Yarrowia lipolytica: one gene and its partners. The protein of the gene in region 1 purifies or fractionates together with the protein of each later gene. This does not show direct contact. Links are inferred from orthologs where the notes say so. Each region holds a gene or a part of one and is shown in the gene's direction. Other genes may lie near its edges. The genes, in order: YALI1_C03582g, YALI1_E04790g, YALI1_C19500g and YALI1_C20180g.

Region 1 (3,957 bases):
CCTTGATTGGAGAAAGAAGCAGTTCGGAAGCAAGACGTCGAAACTAACAGATTCACTCTCTAACACCGAGAATAACGCAGCACGTATCGATTCTACGAGACATGGGATCCAACAACAGCCCACGGCTTCGCAATCACTACCTACTGCTTAAACCATCTCTCCTTCATCAGCACACCAATGGCGCACATCTCGGGATTCTCCTCTTCCAGATCGGCCAAGGTCACCTCGTCGTACATCTGCTGCACCAGTTCATTCATGATCTTGGTTCTCTTCACAGCCAGGTCTTTTCCAGGCCCCGTTTTCATGGTCTTGTGTAAATGCAACAGCTTTTCGTCAAAATGCATCATGGCGTCTTCTCCCTCATCATCTGTAGTAAGAACCAACGGTCTGTCCTTAGCTCCAGAGTAAGCAGCCACTCGTAGAATTCCAATGGCTCCAATGGCATCCAATCTATCCGCATCTTGGACCACATGTAACTCCACACATTCGTCGTGCCACTGGCCCCATTCACCGGTCTTTCGCAGCTTTTTTTCGGTCGAATAGCTCATGTTGGTGGCAATCTTGAGCACCAGATCTTGCTGCTCTGGCGATAGACCCGAGTCCGAAAGACAACTCATCATGATACTCTGTCCGTCGCTCAATTGGGTCTGGTACTTGTGGTCGTTGACGTCGTGCAACAGAGCTGCGACCTCGACAACCTGGAGATCGACCGTCTGGCTCTGGGCTACTTTGCGACCCAGGACTTTGGCCAACCGAACAACTCGATCCACGTGATTCATGTCATGAGACGGATCGAACTGCGCCATATGTATGGCAACTCGTGAATGGATGGTAGACATGGGAGACGGGAGAATTGATGCACTAAAGAAGGATGGCAAAGTCGCACAGTCGTGTCACGGCTTTACGCGCTCGCTAGTCTCGATTTAGTGTGGATAGTGCTGTGTGGTTTGTCAGCATCATGTCAGGTTCATTTGGCGTTGGGAGATTGGTGCTTAAATTAAGTAAAAAGGTGAAAAATTGGCGGGGAAAAAATGAAAAATACTGAAAACACTGAAAATACTGAAAATACTGAAAATACTGAAAATACTGAAAATGTAGAAAATACTGAAAATACTGAAAATACTGAAAATACTGAAAATACTGAAAATACTGAAAATGTAGAAAATACTGAAAATACATAAAATATAGAAAAATGCAGAAGAAAAAAAAAACCTGTACTTTCAGCGTGATGGGGGGATAGAAGAGAATTTAAAACATGTACTACTTGTAGTAGAGGAATGGGAGAGATATTCTACATTGTAATATCTATAGTGGAAGTGAGGATACCTTCTGACTTGTTTTTAACGAGTCTTGTATCTAGTCTCCATGGAACAGTGAGTGATACTGGAGATAGTTTTCACATCAACAACTGGAGATCAAAGAACCAATATGGGTTTCTGAATCATCTAGATACTTATCCTGCCGTTTAATATGGCATTCATGCTATCAAATCGGCTGTAGAAGTTTCGCAGATGGATATCTCTACTCTTGGGTACAGTGTACTCTGTTTGGACTGTGGAGTGTTCCTCAGTAAAGATACTCAACTTAGTTGGACTCCACTTGACATTATACTTCACGCCCGTTCCATCCATGACATTCCATGAAGTTCCACCATACTCCCATACTGGTACATTTACTGGAGATCAGTACCACTGAGGACCCTATTTATACCCCCACAATCCCCGTCGACACTCCCCCTTCCCCATTGTGTCTTCCACAATCCCCATACACCTGGACCTCCATATTTCTCCGTGTCCCGGTGGCGAGCATAAAGTAAGCTTTTTCAGGCCCATGATCTCCAACTGCACCACAGTGCCAGACCCAGCAACAGCACCATCAGTGTCGAGTAACGGTACGAGGAGACACAAAGTGGAACACCCCCTGGCGACCAGAGACACAAGCAGAGCCATACAGATCGGGACAGACAGACAGAGGCAGCTGTGACACGAACGAAAAATAGACCAAACGATTGGAATAACGAAAAGCAGAACACCAACCAAGAAAAGCAGAGATAACCAAGTCCTTCCCACTGAAAAAGAAAAAGAAAAAGAAAGAAAAAGAAAAACAACCCGGCCGGCCTATCGCTTCCACTTTGCATCACCATCACCGATCATCTACCACCTACTGATTGACCACCAGCATCATCTTCCTTCATACACAGCCTAACACCTCGACCGAGAAACAGGCAGATACCCTTGCATTAAAACAACACCCTCCATTTTACATCCATCTCACGAAATGTCCTTCCAACAAAACCTCAACGTGACACTCATGTGTCCCGAGTGCAAAATCCTGCCACCAGACATTGTGGAACGGTTCGCGGAGGGAGACATGGTCTGTGGCCAGTGTGGTCTGGTCCTCTCTGACCGAGTGGTTGATACCCGGTCTGAATGGAGAACCTTCTCCAACGACGACCAGGGCTCCGACGACCCCTCGCGAGTGGGAGACGCCATGAACCCTCTGCTGGAGGGCTCCCAGCTCAACACGATAATCTCGTTTGGAGCTCCGGGCTCGTCGGTCGGCAGAGACCTCAACCGAACCCAGTCGCGGTCTCTGCAGGACAAGAAGGACGCGGCTCTGTCAGCCGTGTATGCCAAGATTTCCCAGATCTGCGACGGTATTTCGCTACCCCGAGTGGTGTCCGACGCCGCCAAGGAGGTCTACAAGCTGGTTCATGACGACAAGCGACTGCGGGGAAAAACCCCCGACGCCATCATCGCCACCGTCATTTTCATCGCTTGTAGACACGCCAACGTGCAGCGAACCTTCCAGGAAATCGGAGCTCTGACCAACGTGTCCAAGAAGGAGATTCGACGAACTCTAGAGCTCATGAAACGGCTGCTCGAGGGAACCAATATCCAGGCGTTCCGATCCACCCAGACCAACCCCGGTGCTCTTATGCCCCGATACTGTTCCCATCTGGGACTCAATTCACAGGTGGCCAACCTGGCAGAAGACATTGTCAAGCGAGCCAAGGAAATCGGTACTCTGGACGGCCGTTCGCCCATTTCAGTTGCTGCCGCAGCTATTTACATGGCAGCTGCACTATATGGAAATGACATGAGTGCACAGAGAGTCAGTGAGAAGACGGGAGTGAGTGACGGAACTATCAAGACGTCGTATAAGCATTTGTATGAGGCGAGGGAGAAGCTGGTGAGTAAGCAGTTGCTGGATTCGGGCAAGGTTTCTTTTGAGACGTTGCCCAAGGTGTAGAACACTCATGAACGAAACCAGTGTGTGTTCTACGACGGACTAGGAGGTTGTGAGCTAGCCTCACGTAGGTATTCCGGCGAAGCGGCTTTCCTAGACCGGCATCCGAGAGTGCTTGCTCACAGTCGTGGGTATTATCTTGTCCGTAATACAGCCACGTCCAAGACTTAGAGAGTGGAGTTACATGAAAACATAGAAAACGAATTGGAATTGTATTATTTTGATGAGCTGTGGAGTTGTACCGCATTTAAACACCTGATCATTTCATTACACGTTATCATATACTTGTTCGTAGTTAGACCTTTGTCTCGACGACATTGTCTTTCTGGCAGGACTTTTCAGAACCGAGGTCTTGGTTCTCATCATCGTTTCTCTCGGTCTCTTTCTTGTTGGTATTTCCAAAGACAACACCCTTGACTCTCTCTTCCATCTGACTAAGATCGACATTAGGAAGAGTGACGGCAAAGAGGATCAGAGCTCCTCCAACAATGACTGGGCCGTAGAGCAGGTGTCTGTAGACGTTGTTGAAAGCTGCAATGATGGCGGTTCTCTCCTCAGAGCCCCAGGCGTACTTCAATGGAGCATTGACATTGTTGACCATGGTGTCAATGTCTTTTTCCGAAAGGAACGGAGCGTAGTCTGCCAGTCTTTTGGGATACTGTTGTCTGTACATGGAGCCTGAAATGGCGTCTCCAATGACTCCTCCTA
Region 2 (7,001 bases), on another chromosome or scaffold:
AAGCCTCACAGACAACGCGTTGGGAGGACCGAAGGAGTTACCGTACTTGTACTTACTGTACACGCAGGCACATCGAGAGGTTGAGTGAGTCAAATATTATTCACAATTTACGAACGGTACATACATCGTGGGGGCCTTGCGAGTAAATCCATACAAGAAAGGATGTTCAAGCACATGGCTCTTTTAGATGATGTATCAGGGGTCATAGAGACAAGTGCGAACAGTAATGTAGCTGTTGGGTTCTCCCTCTAACTAAACTGGCTATGGCTGAGCTGAATGACCAGCTATAAGGCAACTGAGATTCTTGCCTTCAAAACCCCGACGTCTATAACGCCTATTACAAGCATCCGAAAGAGATGCTTGTAGCTAATGATAGCGACGATTATTTTACTTGAAAAAACACACGGAAGCTCAAATATAACAGGGAGACATACAGGCGACTTTCTCATCGCCCCAATGAAGTAAAGCTCCATACTCAAAAGGTCCCAATCGTTACAGCACTCGCACTCAAACGTCTCTGTGGGGTGCATATTCACATGCAGAAATTGGACTACGATACAACTCTAAAGGACTTCAAACATCATCTCCAACTGTGCTCATCTCATCTTCTATCGATTAGCACACCATGTCCTTCATCCTCAATCACCTCAACGAAACTACCCTCAACGTCCAGGGTGACGAGGGTGTCCAGTTCTCCATTGTCGGCGGCCTGGGCACTTTGGCCTCTGCTTACGCCTCGTATCTCATGTGTACCCGGGTGCCTACTTCTAACAAGACTTGGCTTGCTGCCACAGTTGCATCTCTGTTCATCTCAATTGGCAACCAGTACCAGTGTCAGTTCACTCCCGGGTCCCCCGCCAACTCGTCTTACATTGGTCGACTTCCCTGGACCGTTCTGCGAGTAGCCTTCCTGGCAGTGGTCTATGGTCAGCTCAACCTTGGAGGCACCAAGTTTACATGGGCTGCTGGAAATCCTCTGCACATCCCTGTTCTTTTCCTGGCCAGCTATGTGCTCAACGAGGTCGGAAATGTCCTTCGAAAGCCCATTCCCAAGCCTGTCGTGAAAGACGAGTAAATCTTCACCATCTTTATATAATGACAATGCACGACAACGATTCGATTGGTCAGTAGATCTCGATTAAGTCCGTTCACCAGACAAGTCTCCAAAATCAGCTGGAAGCGGTGGCATGATGGGACCATCAGGACCTCTCTCAATGTCCTCAATCTGGTTCCAAAATGACAAGCTGCCTTGATCACGATCAAAGGGAGGTCTGCACCCTGCAGCTTCTACAGCGCGAATGAACTTCTCAACAATTGCTAGTCGCAATATCGGAGGGTACACCTTGTCATGGTACAGAACTGTGTCGGTGAAGTTGGTGTCGAATCGTAACCTCTCGATTTTGTGACAACTGTCTGCCTCAATGAAGTAGTAGAGAAAGGACTGGTCGTAGAGCAAAAGGCTGGCAAGAGTAACTTCGTGGGCCTTGAGATACTCGGCTAGCTGGGGGTAGAACTGCTGATACAGATCCCGCCTCCAGTTGCGAAACACAGTGCCCACAGGCAACCCTATCCACGGAGTTATATCCTCGTAGTACGATACAGAAAATTGTTTGATTGCTGGGAAGTTTTTTCGGTTGAAGAACATCGTTGTGACTGCTGAGTCGAAATGAACATGCTGGATCAGGGGCGCACATGTTAGTAGAGGGGGAACGTAGCCTGCAGAGTAGTAGACGTCTTTCCAGATGTCAGTTGCCAGCAGTTCATAGAGGTGTTTGTTGACACATGTTAATCGAGACAGGTCCTTGAAGTCGAGAAAAGTCGCCACTAGTGTAATCAGTTCGGGTGGGAGTTGCATGATCTAGCAAAGTGTGGCGGTTGATGTTGAACTTGCAAGTATTTACCTCGTTATGCATGTTGGAAAGTGCTTGTAATTAAGAGGCGATAGGTGTGATGCTGGGCCACAGTAGAGATGGATACCCGGCTTGGTAGCTTGCACTAAAACAAGTGACTTTAGTAAATACTGTTCTGTCAAATAGGCCCACTCCACCTCGGTAGCCGTAATACTGCCCGACCCACCCGCTCCATATTTCAACTAATGTAAGTAACACTGTGCGATTCGTAAGGAACATCTGGACACAGGGCTCATCCAGTCACGACTCAATATCCAGAAGTTCTCTTAAATGCCTTTTCGTTTCAAAACTATTGCCCTTACATCACACATCCCCTCAATATTCGTCACACCTCTTTCAACCATCCCGTCCGAACTCCCAAACTTAAGGTTCTGAAAGTCCAAGAAATCATCACGATCTGGAACTACAGGATATACTGTCTCACAGTAGCACGACATGCACATTTTCAAGAATCTGACAGAGCCGACCGCCGTCACTCACAGTCTGTCGTGCAACTTCACCGGCGAGAGGAACCTGGTGCTAGTCAAGGGCTCGCAGCTGCTCCAGATCTTCCGATACAAGGACGACATCCCTACCAAGGATGAAGCTCCTCGACTCGAGCTCATCACCGAATACTACCTCGATGGAACCGTCACGGGCGTGACCCGAATAAAGACAATCGACAACTACGATTTGGATTCGCTCTACATCTCTGTCAAGCATGCCAAGGCCGTGATTGTTGCATGGAATGCTAGCAGTTTCACCATCGACACCAAATCGCTGCATTACTACGAAAAAGGCTTGGTCGAGAGCAACTTCTTCGAGCCCGAGTGCTCGTCTGTTGCTGTATCAGATGAGGCGAACTCGTTCTACACCTGTCTGCTGTTCCAGAATGATCGAATGGCGTTTCTGCCTATTATCGAGAAGGGTCTTGATGACGATGAGATGCCAGAAAGTGGCCAGGTATTTGATCCCTCCTTCATTGTTAAGGCATCGAGGCTCGATAAACGTATCGAGAACGTGATGGATATCTGCTTCCTTCACGAGTACCGAGAAACGACAATGGGTATCCTTTTTCAGCCCAAGAGAGCATGGGTGGGTATGAAGAATATTCTCAAGGACACGGTGAGCTACGCTATCGTCAGTGTCGACGTCCATCAGAAGAACTCCACCGTAATTGGTACCTTGAATGGCCTGCCAGTGGATGCCCAGAAGGTCATTCCTCTGCCTGCTCCTCTTGGTGGCTCACTTATCATCTGCGCCAACACCATTCTCTACATCGACTCCTCGGCTAGTTACACAGGTGTCATGGTCAACAACACACATCGACAAAACTCTGATCTCATCGTATCGAGGGACCAGTCGACTCTTGACCTGCGACTGGAAGGTGCTGAGGTCTGCTTCATCCAGGAGTTGGGCAATACCGCCCTCTTGGTGACAGAAGATGGCCAGTTTTTCAGTCTGCTGTTCAACAAGGATGGTAGACGTGTGGCTAGTCTCGAACTGCGACCTATTGAGCCAGACAACTTCATCCTATCCCAGCCTTCCTCTGTTGCAGCTGGGCCTGATGGAACTATTTTCCTTGGATCTCGAGCTGGAGATTCGCTCTTAGTCAAGTGGTACCATGGTGAGCCAGAAAGTCAGCCCGAGGAGACTCTAGATGACGGAAACGAGTCTGACGATGATCTTTATGGCGGTGACACAGCTCAAACAGAGGACACTACCAATCGTCCATTGAAGCTACGTCTGGCCGACCGCATGCTTGGTATGGGACCCATGCAATCGCTGGCTTTGGGCAAGAATAGAGGCAGTCAAGGTGTTGAGTTTGTCACTACTACAGGTGTCGGTGCAAACTCTGCTCTGGCCATTCTCACAAGCGCACTGATGCCATACAAACGCAAGTCCTTGTATAAGGACATGCCGGGAGGCCAGTTCTGGTCAGTACCCGTGCGTTTTGAGGAGGAAGGGGAGGTTGCCAAATCTCGAACTTATGTTGTCTCGTCTGACAGTGAGAACTCATATCTGTACTATGTTGATGCCGCTGGGGTTATTGAAGACGTTTCTCTCAGTACCAAGAAGAAGAAGACCAAGAAGCATTTTGTTTCGAATGTCACCACAATCTTTTCTTCTTCAATGCTGGATTCGGCGCTCCTCCAGGTCTGTTTGGAAACTGTCAACATTTACGACGCCAAGATCGGACAGCCCCACAAATACTCCCTGCCCCAAGGTACTACAGCCGTGGAGGCTCGTGTACTGGGCAACTACGTGCTTGTGTTGCTGTCTGATGGCCAGGTGAAGATATTGGAGGCCGTGAGCATCAACAAGAGACCATTCTTGAAGGCTGCGCAGGTCTCTATCGAGCCTGCCAGTGAGTCCAAGGCCATCGGTATCTACGCCACTGACTCCTCCCTTACTTTCGGTGCACCAAGCAAGAAACGTACACGCCAGGGATCTCCCGCTCAAGACTCGCGACCTGTTGTTGTTGTGTGCTACGCGGATGGGTCTCTTCTGCTCCAAGGTCTGAATTCCGACGATCGTCTCATTCTAGATGCTTCTGATCTGTCTGGCTTCATCAAAGAGAAGGACGGTCAGCTCTATGATGCCCCTCTTGAACTTGTGGACATCGCATTGAGTCCCCTTGGAGACGATCATATTCTTCGGGACTACCTGGTTCTCCTCACTCCTCAGCAGCTTGTCGTTTATGAGCCTTATCACTACAATGACAAGCTGAGGTTCCGAAAGATCTTCCTTGAGCGAACCCCTACAATCAACTCCGATAGACGACTTACCCAAGTCCCTCTTATTAACGGAAAACACACACTTGGAGTGACTGGTGAAACCGCGTACATCTTAGTCAAGACTTTGCATACTTCTCCGCGACTAATCGAGTTCGGTGAGACTAAGGGCGCAGTTGCTTTCACTTCCTGGGACGGAAAATTTGCTTACTTGACGCAAGCGGGAGAGGTGGCCGAGTGCAGATTCGACCCTAGCTTTTCTCTCGAGACCAATTGGCCCGTGAAGCATGTCCAGCTCTGCGGAGAGACCATTTCCAAAGTCACATATCACGAGACCATGGACGTTTATGTCATTGCTACTCACAAGACAGTTCCCCATGTTGTCCGTGATGAAGACGACGAGGTGATCGAGAGTCTTACACCAGACATCATGCCTGCCACTACCTATCAGGGTGCCATTCGCATCGTCAACCCTTATTCGTGGACTGTCATTGACTCCTATGAGTTCGAGATGCCCGCTGAAGCGGCCCTCTGTTGCGAGTCTGTCAAGTTGTCCATCTCTGATAGAAAGTCACAAAAGCGGGAGGTGGTGGCTGTCGGAACCTCCATTCTTAGAGGTGAGGATCTCGCTGCTCGAGGTGCTCTGTACCTCTTTGATGTCATTGAGATTGTTCCTGAGAAGGAACGACCCGAGACCAATAGACGACTCAAGAAGCTGGTTCAGGACCGTGTCCGTGGGGCCTTCACTGCTGTCTGCGAGGTATCTGGTCGTCTTCTAGCTGTCCAGGGCCAGAAGCTGCTTGTACAGGCTCTTCAGGATGACCTTACCCTCGTTCCTGTTGCTTTCCTCGATATGCAGACTTACGTGGCCGTTGCCAAGAGTCTGAACTCCATGCTTCTGCTCGGTGATGCCACCCGATCTGTCCAGTTTGTCGGGTTCTCCATGGACCCGTACCAGATGATCCCGTTCGCCCGTGACCTGCAGAGGGTGTTGGTTACCACCTGTGACTTTGCTATCGAGGGTGAGAACCTGACATTTGTTGTGGCTGATCTCCAGAAACGACTGCACATCCTCGAGTACGACCCCGATGACCCTCAGTCGTACTCTGGAGCCCGTCTCCTGAGACGTTCTGTATTCTACTCTGGAAAGGTGATCGATTCCTCGGCCATGGTACCCATAAACGAGGATCGATTCATGGTGATTGGTGTGTGCAGTGATGGATCAGTGACTGACGTCGTCCCTTGCCCTGAAGATGCCTACAGACGTCTCTATGCCATCCAGACTCAGATCACCGACAAGGAAGCCCACGTCTGTGGGTTACATCCTAGAGCCTACAGGTACGATCCCATCTTGCCTGGCACTGGAAACAGTCCCCACAGACCTATTCTTGATGGCCACACCTTGATTCGATTTGCTAACCTGCCCCGAAACAAGCAGAACGTGTATGCTAACCGTCTGGGTCAGCGATATCAGCAGTTGATCTGGAAGGACCTTGAGCTCATCTCTGACCTGTTCAAGAAATGTATTTGAGTCTGTCAATGACACAATAATGTATATTTTAATATTAGTGTATTTTTAGATAAGTTGTAGTTACAGTATTGTAGCTACAGTACATACCAGTTGCCAGGCTAAGCAGCTGTCGACAAATAGCACCATCCTAAGTGAGAACAGAACACCCCACTCTTTTCAGTTGTAGAGATATACCAGCGGGCACCATGGACCGTATGTAGACTGTTGGTCATAAGCATACCCAACAACGTAGAACATGCTACAGTACTTCCCCAACGTGGCTTTACACTGCCGAGTTGCCGATCTGGTGGAACAGAGCATCGCCCTCCAGATCTATACTTCGCTGGGTACCCCCGGGAAAGAGAACATTAGAACGTAAGGCAAACAGATAGGAGGCTACTGTATAGTACATACTGTGAAAAACGCATTCCATACAAACAGACCTTATCCCTATTCCCCGTCAAAGCTATCCAATACGTATACTGTATATGATCAAGCTGATTGAAAATCTGCGATAAGCTAACTACCAAGTTGGCTGGAAATTCCAATGTACTGGGTATTTCTATATCCCGTTGTTAATAGAAGCAGACTAAGATTGATTCACGAAAGGAGCCAACCGCGTTAGAAAGAAATCCACGCTTCGCTTTCGTATCGAAAAACGCGCCTTGTTACGTCATCAGGTGTCGATGCCACCCCCCGCCATACAGTTCGATGAGTGCATATGTACGCAACCTGCATAACCTTCGTCACCAAATCAAAACTTCTTAACCAGAAACCATCTTCGACATGGCTACTCGGAAAGCTGCCAAGACCAAGGCCAATGGCCCGGCTCACGTTCCCAGTGGACCTTCTCAGGTTCTAGCAGTT
Region 3 (5,115 bases), about 1.6 Mb from region 1:
TATTATAGAATAAAAAAAACAAAATAAAACAAAATAAAACGAAATAAAACGAAAATAAAACAAAAAACATGGAAATAAAACCAATTACCAGTCCCAAAAGTCACCCATAACCATGCATTACCAAAATAACGAAAATAAAACCAATTTTCAGTCTCCAATAACCATGCATTACCATCTATATAGCTCATTCTCACACCTTTACTCATTCTTGAACCCCTTGAAGTACTTGACTCGAAAGTCCTCAGCCTTACCGCCTTCAGTCTTTCTCAACTCGCCCTTATCGCCCTCCTTTCGTCGCCTGTACACCAAACACCGTCGCGACCACTGGTTGAAGTCCTGCACACAGTTGCAGATGAGCTCTAGATCCTCATGGAGAGGAATCTCGGCGTCTGTGTAGTCCTGGTTGGCGGTGGGCATCCAGAAGGCGAGCCGGCCGTCTTCAACAAGTCGCTCAGCCGAGAAACTCAACAGAGCATCCATCATCTTTCCAAACTCAAACGGCTTCTTTGGAGGAATGTAATCTCGACGAGTATGCGCCAGCTGACCGTCCACCAGAGTCGTTTCCAGATGCTTCTTCTTCTCAACGTCCTCCTCTCGCACTCCCAGGACTTTGAGACCCTCCCGAACTCCGTAGGGAGGATCACAGACGATGGAATCGAACTTGAGACCCTTTCGGAACGAGTTGTTGGTGAAGTCGACCGCCAAAACGTCCAGAAGCCGGTTAACGGAGTTGTACTGTTTGAAGTTGGCAGGAATATCGCATCCTTTACCCTTGCCTCTGATCATGCGCACATCGATGTCCGAACCCACCGTGAGAGCTCCAAACGCTGCCGCAGCCACCAGAAACGATCCGGTGCCGGCAAAGGGATCGTACATGAGCCCGTTTCGCTTCACATGCGCCAAATTGCACGTCAAAAGAGACAATTCAGCGTCAAACGACGTCGTGCCGATATATTTGCGTTTCTTGAGATCAAAAGTGTCCATGGCACTCCGGTTGGAGTTGGCAATGTGTCGTCCAAAGAATATTCGCGCGGGAGCGGGTTCGGGGTTCTGCCCGATGACTCGGTAGTCCTCCAGAATGGTGAACACGTGGTCCGGCGACTTCATTTTGATCTTTCCCTTGAAATCCATGTATGAAAACCCCTCCACCATCTTGATAAACTCCTCCTTGGGTCGCGAAGATTGGTATCCAATGATTTCAAACTTGAACGAGTCGGTGGCATACTTGGGCCACAGTTGGCTGGTCTGGGTCTTGATCTGCTCGTGAAGCTCCTCCATGGACGCAGCTGGACCGCCCCAAAGCTCGTAGATGGACTTGGCAAGCACGGATCGTCGAATCAGCTTTTTGGCAGCCTCGTCGTTCTCCAGCTCCACAATCATGAACGGAGACGACTCGTCATGGGACGACAAGTCAACGGCGATATTTTCGAGCTGGGCCAGGGCGGTGAGTTCGGCCAGCCGAAACTGCATGTGCGTTTGCGACAGCAACAGCAGGTACTTCATTGCTTCTGTTTGTGTGGTGTTTTTTTTTTTTTTCAGATCAGTAGTCGCATTATCAAAATATTTTTTAGACTTTGACTTTTTTTTTAACATAATCATTTACAGGAATCGAACACACGACGTTTCGATATTTTCCCCAATTGGGGGAATGGGTTAGGGTAAAACAGAGTGCATAGTGACACCGCAGAGGGAGGTTTTCTCCTCTACCACACACACACACATACATAGCGACTAGATAGTTAACATGTCTGGACTCGACGACGACGACGATTTTCTCAACGATATTTAGTGAGTACTCCACGCGACCGGCGACGTGACACAGATAGGTATTTAGAGTATCTAGGTGGATATAGGGCTTTTGTTTTGTGTGGGGGTGGAGGGAGAGTTGCCAGAGATGTACTTGCACAATCTAGATGTATGGTATTAGTGGTCGGAAGGGTGGTTGGAAGGATGGTTGGAGGGGTGGGTTGACCAGGGAGAGTTCCGATTCCTGAGGTGTTAAAGCAGTCAAAGGGAGATCAGTTGCAACGGTCAGACTGAAGACCCATTTCGGAACTGATCACCATCGACTTGTGCCGAGTTTGCATAGCCCAGCTTCCCTGTCCCCATTGGGCCCATAACGACTCTTCTGTACTCACTTTTACTGCTCCACGGCTGTCACCCAGTACCCAAGGGTAAGTTAGATACAAGACCCAACTGCTGTTGAGCAGACAGACTGTTCCGGCGGTTGCTGGAGTAGCGAGACACGAACCGATGAAAACATTTGACTATCTCCACTAGCCAGCATTCTACCCCTAGCTTATCCTGCACATACTTGAGATCTGCCCCAGCTGTGTTCTGAGCAGTCATTCCACGCACTGGAATGCAATCATAAATCTTCTCCAAGTTCCTCGTTAGACGCCATCTTCCTTTAGATGTCCATTTTTCAGACCACATTCGTCCCCTTCTCCGCACCATATACCTCTCCTCTCACACTCCAGACCAACATCCTTGACATATTTGAGCTCGTGACTACAAAATCATCGTCTCTAGGAGTTGTACGAGTACCAACTAGGAGTTCCCACGGCCTTCTGCTACCAATACTAACCCAGCGCCGAGGATAAACCTGCCAAGGTTGAGCCCAAGGCGGAGGACAACATCCCCACGCCGGTAGCTCCCGCTGCGGCCACCCCCGCCGCTCCCACTGCTGATCCTCGATTGGCTGCTGCTCCCTCAGCTCCTGCTGCCGCTGCCATTCCCACTGCACCCGCCGCCGCAGCTGCCCCTGCTGCCGCCGCTCCTGTGGCTCCTGCGGCTCCCTCTATCCCCGCCGAGATGGCTGCGGCAGTCGCAGCAGCCATGCCCGGACCCAACGGCGATCTTGTTTACCGGTCGGATGGAAATGCCGCTCTGGGAAACATTGTCATCCCTCCCAAGGACGAGGGTAAGATGTTCATTGGAGGTCTCAACTGGGAAACCACCGACGAGTCGCTGACCAACTACTTTGCGCAGTTTGGCGAGGTGCTGGAATGCACTGTCATGCGCGATCACTTTTCCGGCAAGTCTCGTGGATTCGGATTTCTCACCTTCAGAGACCCCAAGTGTGTGAACGCAGTCATGGCCAAGGAGCACTACCTTGACGGAAAGATCATCGATCCCAAGCGAGCTATCCCTCGAGAAGAGCAGGACAAGACCAGTAAGATTTTCGTGGGCGGAGTGGGCTCCGATGTCACCGAAGAGGACTACAAGCAGTTCTTTGAGCAGTACGGCACCGTCATTGACGCTCAGCTCATGATTGACAAGGACTCTGGCCGGCCTCGGGGATTCGGGTTCGTCACGTTCGACTCCGAGCAGGCCATGAACACCATTCTGGCCCAGCCCCTGCTGATTCTCAAGGACAAGCCCATTGAGGTCAAGCGAGCCGAGAACCGGTCCAAGGGTGCCGGCGCTTCCGCAGTGGCCAATGCAGTTGCGGGACCTTCCCATGGAGGCGGCAACCACAACTACAACAACAATCACAGCCACGGAGGTACTGCAGATGCCGCCGCCGCTCCTGCCCAGAACTCCTACGGTGGCATGACCCCCCAGGCCATGACCCAATGGTGGCAGCAGTACATGCAATACATGCAGCAGGTACAGCAGATGCAGGGAGGCGCTGCGGCCGACCCCGAAGCCCAGCAAGCCATGATGGCCCAGATGATGGCCCAGATGCAGCAGCAGCAGCAGCCTCAGGGCCAAAGCCATCAGCAGAGAGACAACCACCACCAGCAGTCGAGAGAGCGGGACCACCACAACGATGAGTCGAGTGACGACAATGAGATGCGGCGAGTCGATCGTGGCCGAGACGACCGTTCTGGCCGACGGGGCCGGGGTTACAACCAGTCTGACCGACGATCTCGGTCTCCCGGAGTGCCCACTGGCCCTCGAGACGGCCGACAGAGAGGGCGACGGCATGGAGGAGGTCGAGGACGAGATCGACGAGACGGCGGACGAGCCCCAGGTTACCATCCTTACGGAGGGAGCCGAGATCGACAGCAGGGTCGAAGAGATTAATATGGTTGGAGGGTGGGGCGATGGAATGAAACGCTACCATCGCTACGAGCTGACTTTGCCGGTACCGGCCCGTATGAGTTTCACATGCTAGGAATGGCGACTCAGAATAGTTAAATAAATGTTATGAATTGATGTATAGGAGAGTTGGAGTTAAACGTCTGCCAGGGGATACCAGAGTTGAGAAACATGTATCATCGAGACATGGAGGTGGCTTGATAGACTCCATCCAGCTCTGAGAGACTTCAGGGACCTTCAGAGTCTCTCGACATGTGAACAGCCCGTGACATACTGTATTGCAAGAACGAGGAGAGGAGGAGAATGGATTCTAAACGAGTCATGGGAGAGTTCCATTCAATGTCTCTCAGGATTGTCACAGTATTATCACTAATGGTAACTATTGCCCAGACTTAGCCATCGGACTTCTTGCCGCCCCACTTACCATCTTGCCATACGACTTACCATCGACCTGAGTAGTGAATTGTCTGTAATACAGCATCTATATCGCCATATGTATCAATGACTGCGACCTATGAGTGCATTGTATAAGTTATCCATCGAGAAATCCTCAAATTGGGCTTCCCATTCACCCTATCCCCGTTCAGTCAGAGGGCACGTTTTGAGGATAGTATCGGAACTTGAATTTGGACTCCAGACGATATTAAGAAAGCAGAAACAGTTCTGAAACGTTTTACTTCTCCATCTACCCATCATGTGCCACTACGGGAATTGTTGAACGACTTGAAATGAATACCATCGATGGGAGCTGGTGAGAGGAACTTTAGTTGGGAAGTTACTTAGAATTTGTTAGATAAAAATTGTGCTAGGGGTCGCAAAAGTAGGAACCAAAGAGTTGATTACAAATCTGATTAAATATACAGATTTAAAAGTCATACATTACCTACTAAAATTCTAGCTAAACAAATATCGGCTGTGTTTCTGTTGTGCTAAATCAAATCTCATATTTTGTTCCAAGTATTTTCAGTTGACTTAATTCTTTAGTTTTGTCGATTACTAGTTGGGACAGGATATGTACAGACCGTGCTTTAAATATCAGTGCTAGTTCACCAGACCCATAGATGTTGA
Region 4 (5,050 bases), about 1.7 Mb from region 1:
GGCATGGGAGGATGATGCCACAAGGAGCAAATGTGTGGCTGGAGGGGTTATGAGAACGTATGGGGTGAAGAGTGTAGCGATGGAAGAATGGTGTTTGAAACCGGTCAATCAGTTGATCTGGACCCCTGAATGATCCGGTAGGAGCTCCACGGGTGAATTCACACTCTTCCGGGCCAGTCTACTTCCTATCAAACTTGCTTATTAACGCTCTAGTTGATTGGTTCCCTGAACCCAGCCGTACGACAATACGATCAACGTAATCAGGGTCACTGAGAGGTGCGGTCGCTGGGCAGAGTGCAACCTCGTCAAAGTGTCTTGAAATCAACCACGGGAACCCCACAAGCGCCACCACCTTTTCCCATATATCACCCAACACAAGAGCGCACACGGCTGAAGAGACACAAGGGCGTGTTTCCAGAAGCAAGGAACAGAAACATATCATCGCCGGCCGCTGATAAAAAGACGGGGTGTGTTTGGCGCCCTGGTTCTGTTATTTTTCAATCCCTCCTCGCGACCTTTTTGTGGTCATATTCACATGCCACATGGGTCTGCGGTGGTGCCATGGTGACCGAAAAAAGGCCGACACCGGCGCGCATCCCAAGCGACCGGCTGAGAGCCCGTCGTTTTCAGGGGTCCAGGCGCCCACACCCACATTCAATACTCACCAGAACCGAGAACTCGGGCAGCACCAGACTGCTTCTTATCGGACGAAATAGGAGCCATTTGTTGGACGGTAGCGATGGAGACTGGAGAAGTGCAAAAGGTGTGGAGGGAAAGCAGACACTGATATACAGTTTGGGTTTTTCACCAAGACAAAAATTCCAAAGTGAGTCAGGATGCAGCTCCGAAGTTTCTCCAGAGGGGCAGCGATTGGGAACCAACAGCCAAAGTATCAGCGCTCAAACCAGGGTGTGTCTTGTGTGCGCAGGGGGAGGGGAGGGAGTCACGTGGCCCACCGTCCCCGGATTGCTCGGGATAGGCCACAAACGCCTCCGTGACGGCGCTCGACGGACCTGTTGTGCTGCTCACCAACTGCGATGCTGGTCATACTGGCCCTGTCTATCACCCGACAATTACCGTGCGAGATCCGAAAGTTTCCGACGCTCGGCCAAAACGCGGACCCCCGCCTAATTATCCGGATAGCGCCCAACCGCGCAAAGATAGCAGAGGCGCGTGTGCCATGGGCGCTGCAAGGGCTGTTGTGGTGGCTTTTGCCGCCTCCTGGTTGGCCAGTTTCGGCAACTAAAATCTGATAACGTTGGTTAAAGTTTCAACTACAATAGTTGCTCAACGTGAGAAAGGTGGAGAAGCCAACGGTCGGGGTTTTCCGCGCCAACAAGGGCCAATTTCGGAGAAATGCGGTGATAAAGCGGGTCTTTTTGTGAGCGACAATTGATTGTGGACATTACGGGCTCGCGGCCATCGCATATCCCATCCATAATTCCGCCTCGTGCTACCTCGGCTCATTTCCGGAGAGCTAATCTCCACGAACTTTAATGGTCTACGTCAGAATCGAACGTACGATAACACTTGTAGTTGGTAAAAATTAAAAATAAATAAAATAAAAAATAAAAATAAAATAAAAATAAAAATAAAAAGAGCAGGAATCGAACTGGAGAGAGAGCAAAACTTGAAAAAATAAAATTAAAAAATTAAAAAAAATTAAAAAAAATTAAAAAAAAATGCCACCAGACAAGAGCCATACACTAAAAGTTGGAGGACAAGTACAAACAGCACGTACAGTACATTGTAGATATATAAAGGGTTAGGGGAGAAGTGGAAATGGGAGCGCAAGTTTGATGGATGGCTTTTTTCTTTTGTTCCTGCAATTCGCCGTTCAATTCGCACCGTGGTTGATAAGTCAGCACTCTTGCAACTTTGCTGGTCACATGACTAAATATTAAAGTTTTTTCAGGCCGTGCATCCATCTGCAAGACTCTTTCCTCCTCGTAGTATCAACGTCAGCGACACTATATATGTAATGTCCGAGCTGGATGAGATTCGAGAGGACTACCTGTACGCTCTGGAGGAGCTGACGGGGGTCCAGAAGCCCATCATCACCAACCTCACGGTGATTGCCGAGGAAAACAGACACGCTGCCAAGGCCATTACCCGAGCCATTGAGGAGCGAATAAGTAAGGTGAGTAGCGGAGGAACCACAATGAGGAGATGCCGACGACAAGGACGAGATCAAAGGACACAGAGCGACCTGAAAACACCGGTGCCGGCCACACGGTACGCCGACTCTTGCTCTATCCCAGTGACGGTGTTTAATAAGGCGTATGGTGTCATGTTGGTGATCATGTGCTGCGACTGTGGTTATGGGTGGCGTTAACATGAAGCTTGGGACAGGTTGACGATTGATTTTGCAACGTGGCACATGTATACAACCTCTGATCCATCGATTGGCTTGGTCCAACTCGTGTGATGGAGTTTGTATCTCCAGGCTGTCGTTATGTCTTCGAGACAACGATGTGATTAGTGACTGACGAGAGATCATACTGCGAATGACGACACATCAATAATCTTTTCCATATGCCACCGCCGCCTATATCTATCTCTACATACTAACCCAGTGCGCTCCAGAGTACAAGCTGCCAGCAATGTACCTGCTCGACTCCATCTGCAAGAACGTAGGAGCACCATACACAACCTGCTTCGGTATCAACTTGTACCGCACTTTTGCCGACACATACACCCAAGTTCCCGAATCGATCCGACGAAAACTGATCGAGCTGTACGGCACCTGGAAAACGTCGGCCACAGGCGGCATGCTGTTCCCAGCAGAACCCATGCGAAAGATTGCCTCTTTTCTGGAACGAATCAACGAAGTCACATCACGGGCCACGCCAAACCCCGCAACCCCCAACCTGGGCACCCCCAACCCCGCTACTCCACCTCTAGGCACTCCAGTTCTCGGCCAAGGAGGTTTCGGAGTGCCCAATGCGGGCCTGACACAACCCCAGCTGCTGGAGAAGTGCAGCCACGTGATCGACATGACTTCTGACCGTCTACAACATATTCCAGGCGACGTCGATGCCAAGGAACGGATTCCTGTCCTCAAACAGCTACAGGCCGTTCTTCAGTCCCAGGCCATTCCTGTGTCGTACCTGTCCAATATTGAGGCTCAATTGGCCTCTTCTCTAGCCCATGAGGAGAAGAAGCTTGCTGAATACGAAGAAAACGAGCGACTAAAGCAGCAGCAGCAGCAGCAGCAGCAGCAACAGCAGCAGACGACACCAAGCAACTTGCTAGCTTCCCTACAAGCCGCTGGCTTGTTAGCAGGAGGTATACCTGGTGGAATGCCTGGAATGCCTGGTATGCCTGGAATGCCTGGAATGCCGGCTATGCCTGGTATGCCTGTTCCACCCATGCCTATGCCTGGTATGCCTTTTCCCATGTTTCCTAACCTTGGTACTGTTCCTGCACCGGACATTAACTCTCTGTTGGCCTCTGGTGCCTCTTCTTTGCTGTCTTCCTTGGAGTCTAACGACGTGGAACTTTCTACGTCTTCTCTGCTGAAGCCTCGCCCCAATCTGGTATTCAACCTTTACGGCAAGATGCCCAAGGTGTGCAACATTTGTGGGCGGCGGTTCCGAGATAATCAGGACCATGCCCGTATGCAGCACATGGACTGGCATTTCCGAATCAATAAGAAGATGCGCCAGGACGAGGGACGAGCTCAGAACAGACGGTGGTACCTGGCCGAGCATTTGTGGGTGGCAGGAGAGCAAAAGGAGGAAAAAGAAGAAAAGGTGCAAAAGGTGGACATGGAAAGTGTCAAGAAACAATGGGTTCTGGCTCCCAGCAGTGCTTCTAAGAAGAAGCAGGTTTGTCCCATTTGCACAGGAGGCTTCAACACGGAACTCAGTGATGAAGCTGAGGACTGGGTGTGGACAGACGCGGTTCAGGTTGGAGATAAGATCTTCCATGCCACATGTTATGCTGAGAGTGGAAAGCTGGCAGAGAGCCTGGTGAGAAAGAGGAGAGGAGAAGATAGAGAAGGAAGGACAAAGAGGGAGAAGGTGGAGCTCGACTACTAATCCGAGCAACATCTCTCACCCTCCCTGATCAGGCCCTGGCTGCAGAAGAACCGCCAGCGCCATCAACAGAAACAGAAACAGAAACAGTCAGAAGATCCAGACCTTTTCTGACACACAATCGCATTCTTTGATACTAGATATTAAATAATAAAACGTGCGGGTATCTATCCGTATGATAACAAATGAAGTGGCACTAGTGTACAAGTACAAGTAGGTCAACAAGTAGATACAGCCAACTGGCCAGATAATCCTGTACATTTCGAGTAAGACGGACAACAAGGACGAAGCCCATGGCGTTCCGGAAGCCTGTTGAGATTTCTGAGCAAGCCACTGGTCCTGTTTGCGACAATTACAAATCAATAAACAAGTAATTGTACTTGTAGCCATTGGTCATCTAGATAATCAGACAATGACTGTTCTCTCTCTTTTCAGACTTTTCTTTCTTGGGTCTAGTGGAACTGAAAAATCGTGGAGGAGACTAAATCTGAGCTCTTTATATCGCTAGGGTGTCCGTTGATGGTTGCTAAGGGAGTTAATTACAGCATCTCCGTTGACTTGCATCTGTCTTTCTCTTTCTCGAGGCAGACTGCTATGTTCTCTGTTTCTCGGAGTTGGAAATGACGATTCTGACGGGCTCGTTTCCTGTCATGTCATCCTCGGACTGAGTCTAGACAAGTTCTGGAATGTAGTTTATAGCGAAAGAACAACTACTTGTACCATATTTCGACAGATAATTCCGTCTAATGGTGTTTTGCATCCAGCGTCACATTTGACATCTTGCACTATTGGCAATCTACGATCGAAATGCGCCACCTGCCACCTTGGCGGCTACCGCAGTCCGAAGAATACACTTTTGACAAGAGGAAAAAACAAATTCACCGAGACCCATTGACCGCGTCTCAACGTCCCCTCAACGTCTGAGAATTTTTCAAGGTCTCGAAATCGTAACCTTCCCGGAAGCTCGGATCAAGTGAAGCTAGAACACAAGTACCTCCAGGAACTGGTAG

Evidence for each region.
Region 2: the proteins of YALI1_C03582g (region 1) and YALI1_E04790g purify together in Saccharomyces cerevisiae (affinity purification with mass spectrometry; 3 studies listed by BioGRID). This does not show direct contact. The link is inferred for Yarrowia lipolytica from reciprocal best matches to the Saccharomyces cerevisiae genes SUA7 and CFT1.
Region 3: the proteins of YALI1_C03582g (region 1) and YALI1_C19500g purify together in Saccharomyces cerevisiae (affinity purification with mass spectrometry; 3 studies listed by BioGRID, with this or other methods). This does not show direct contact. The link is inferred for Yarrowia lipolytica from reciprocal best matches to the Saccharomyces cerevisiae genes SUA7 and HRP1.
Region 4: the proteins of YALI1_C03582g (region 1) and YALI1_C20180g purify together in Saccharomyces cerevisiae (affinity purification with mass spectrometry; 3 studies listed by BioGRID, with this or other methods). This does not show direct contact. The link is inferred for Yarrowia lipolytica from reciprocal best matches to the Saccharomyces cerevisiae genes SUA7 and PCF11.

Annotation. Positions count from the first base shown.
Region 1 is NC_090772.1:356,554-360,510, reverse strand, and holds YALI1_C03582g (uncharacterized protein), read left to right. Parts: upstream 1-2,277; coding exon 2,278-3,252; downstream 3,253-3,957. Other genes in the region: YALI1_C03596g (uncharacterized protein), read right to left, coding at 141-839; YALI1_C03550g (uncharacterized protein), read right to left, coding at 3,545-3,957. UniProt on the Saccharomyces cerevisiae protein: General factor that plays a major role in the activation of eukaryotic genes transcribed by RNA polymerase II.
Region 2 is NC_090774.1:474,403-481,403, reverse strand, and holds YALI1_E04790g (uncharacterized protein), read left to right. Parts: upstream 1-2,345; coding exon 2,346-6,155; downstream 6,156-7,001. Other genes in the region: YALI1_E04807g (uncharacterized protein), read left to right, coding at 626-1,075; YALI1_E04795g (uncharacterized protein), read right to left, coding at 1,139-1,855; YALI1_E04744g (uncharacterized protein), read left to right, coding at 6,921-7,001. UniProt on the Saccharomyces cerevisiae protein: RNA-binding component of the cleavage and polyadenylation factor (CPF) complex, which plays a key role in polyadenylation-dependent pre-mRNA 3'-end formation and cooperates with cleavage factors including the CFIA complex and NAB4/CFIB.
Region 3 is NC_090772.1:1,947,496-1,952,610, reverse strand, and holds YALI1_C19500g (uncharacterized protein), read left to right. Parts: upstream 1-1,744; coding exon 1,745-1,788; intron 1,789-2,591; coding exon 2,592-4,032; downstream 4,033-5,115. Other genes in the region: YALI1_C19510g (uncharacterized protein), read right to left, coding at 199-1,599. UniProt on the Saccharomyces cerevisiae protein: RNA-binding protein, which is involved in the polyadenylation-dependent pre-mRNA 3'-end formation and cooperates with the cleavage factor CFIA complex and the cleavage and polyadenylation factor (CPF) complex.
Region 4 is NC_090772.1:2,015,539-2,020,588, reverse strand, and holds YALI1_C20180g (uncharacterized protein), read left to right. Parts: upstream 1-1,981; coding exon 1,982-2,140; intron 2,141-2,576; coding exon 2,577-4,043; downstream 4,044-5,050. Other genes in the region: YALI1_C20198g (uncharacterized protein), read right to left, coding at 666-723. UniProt on the Saccharomyces cerevisiae protein: Component of the cleavage factor IA (CFIA) complex, which is involved in the endonucleolytic cleavage during polyadenylation-dependent pre-mRNA 3'-end formation and cooperates with cleavage factor NAB4/CFIB and the cleavage and polyadenylation factor (CPF) complex.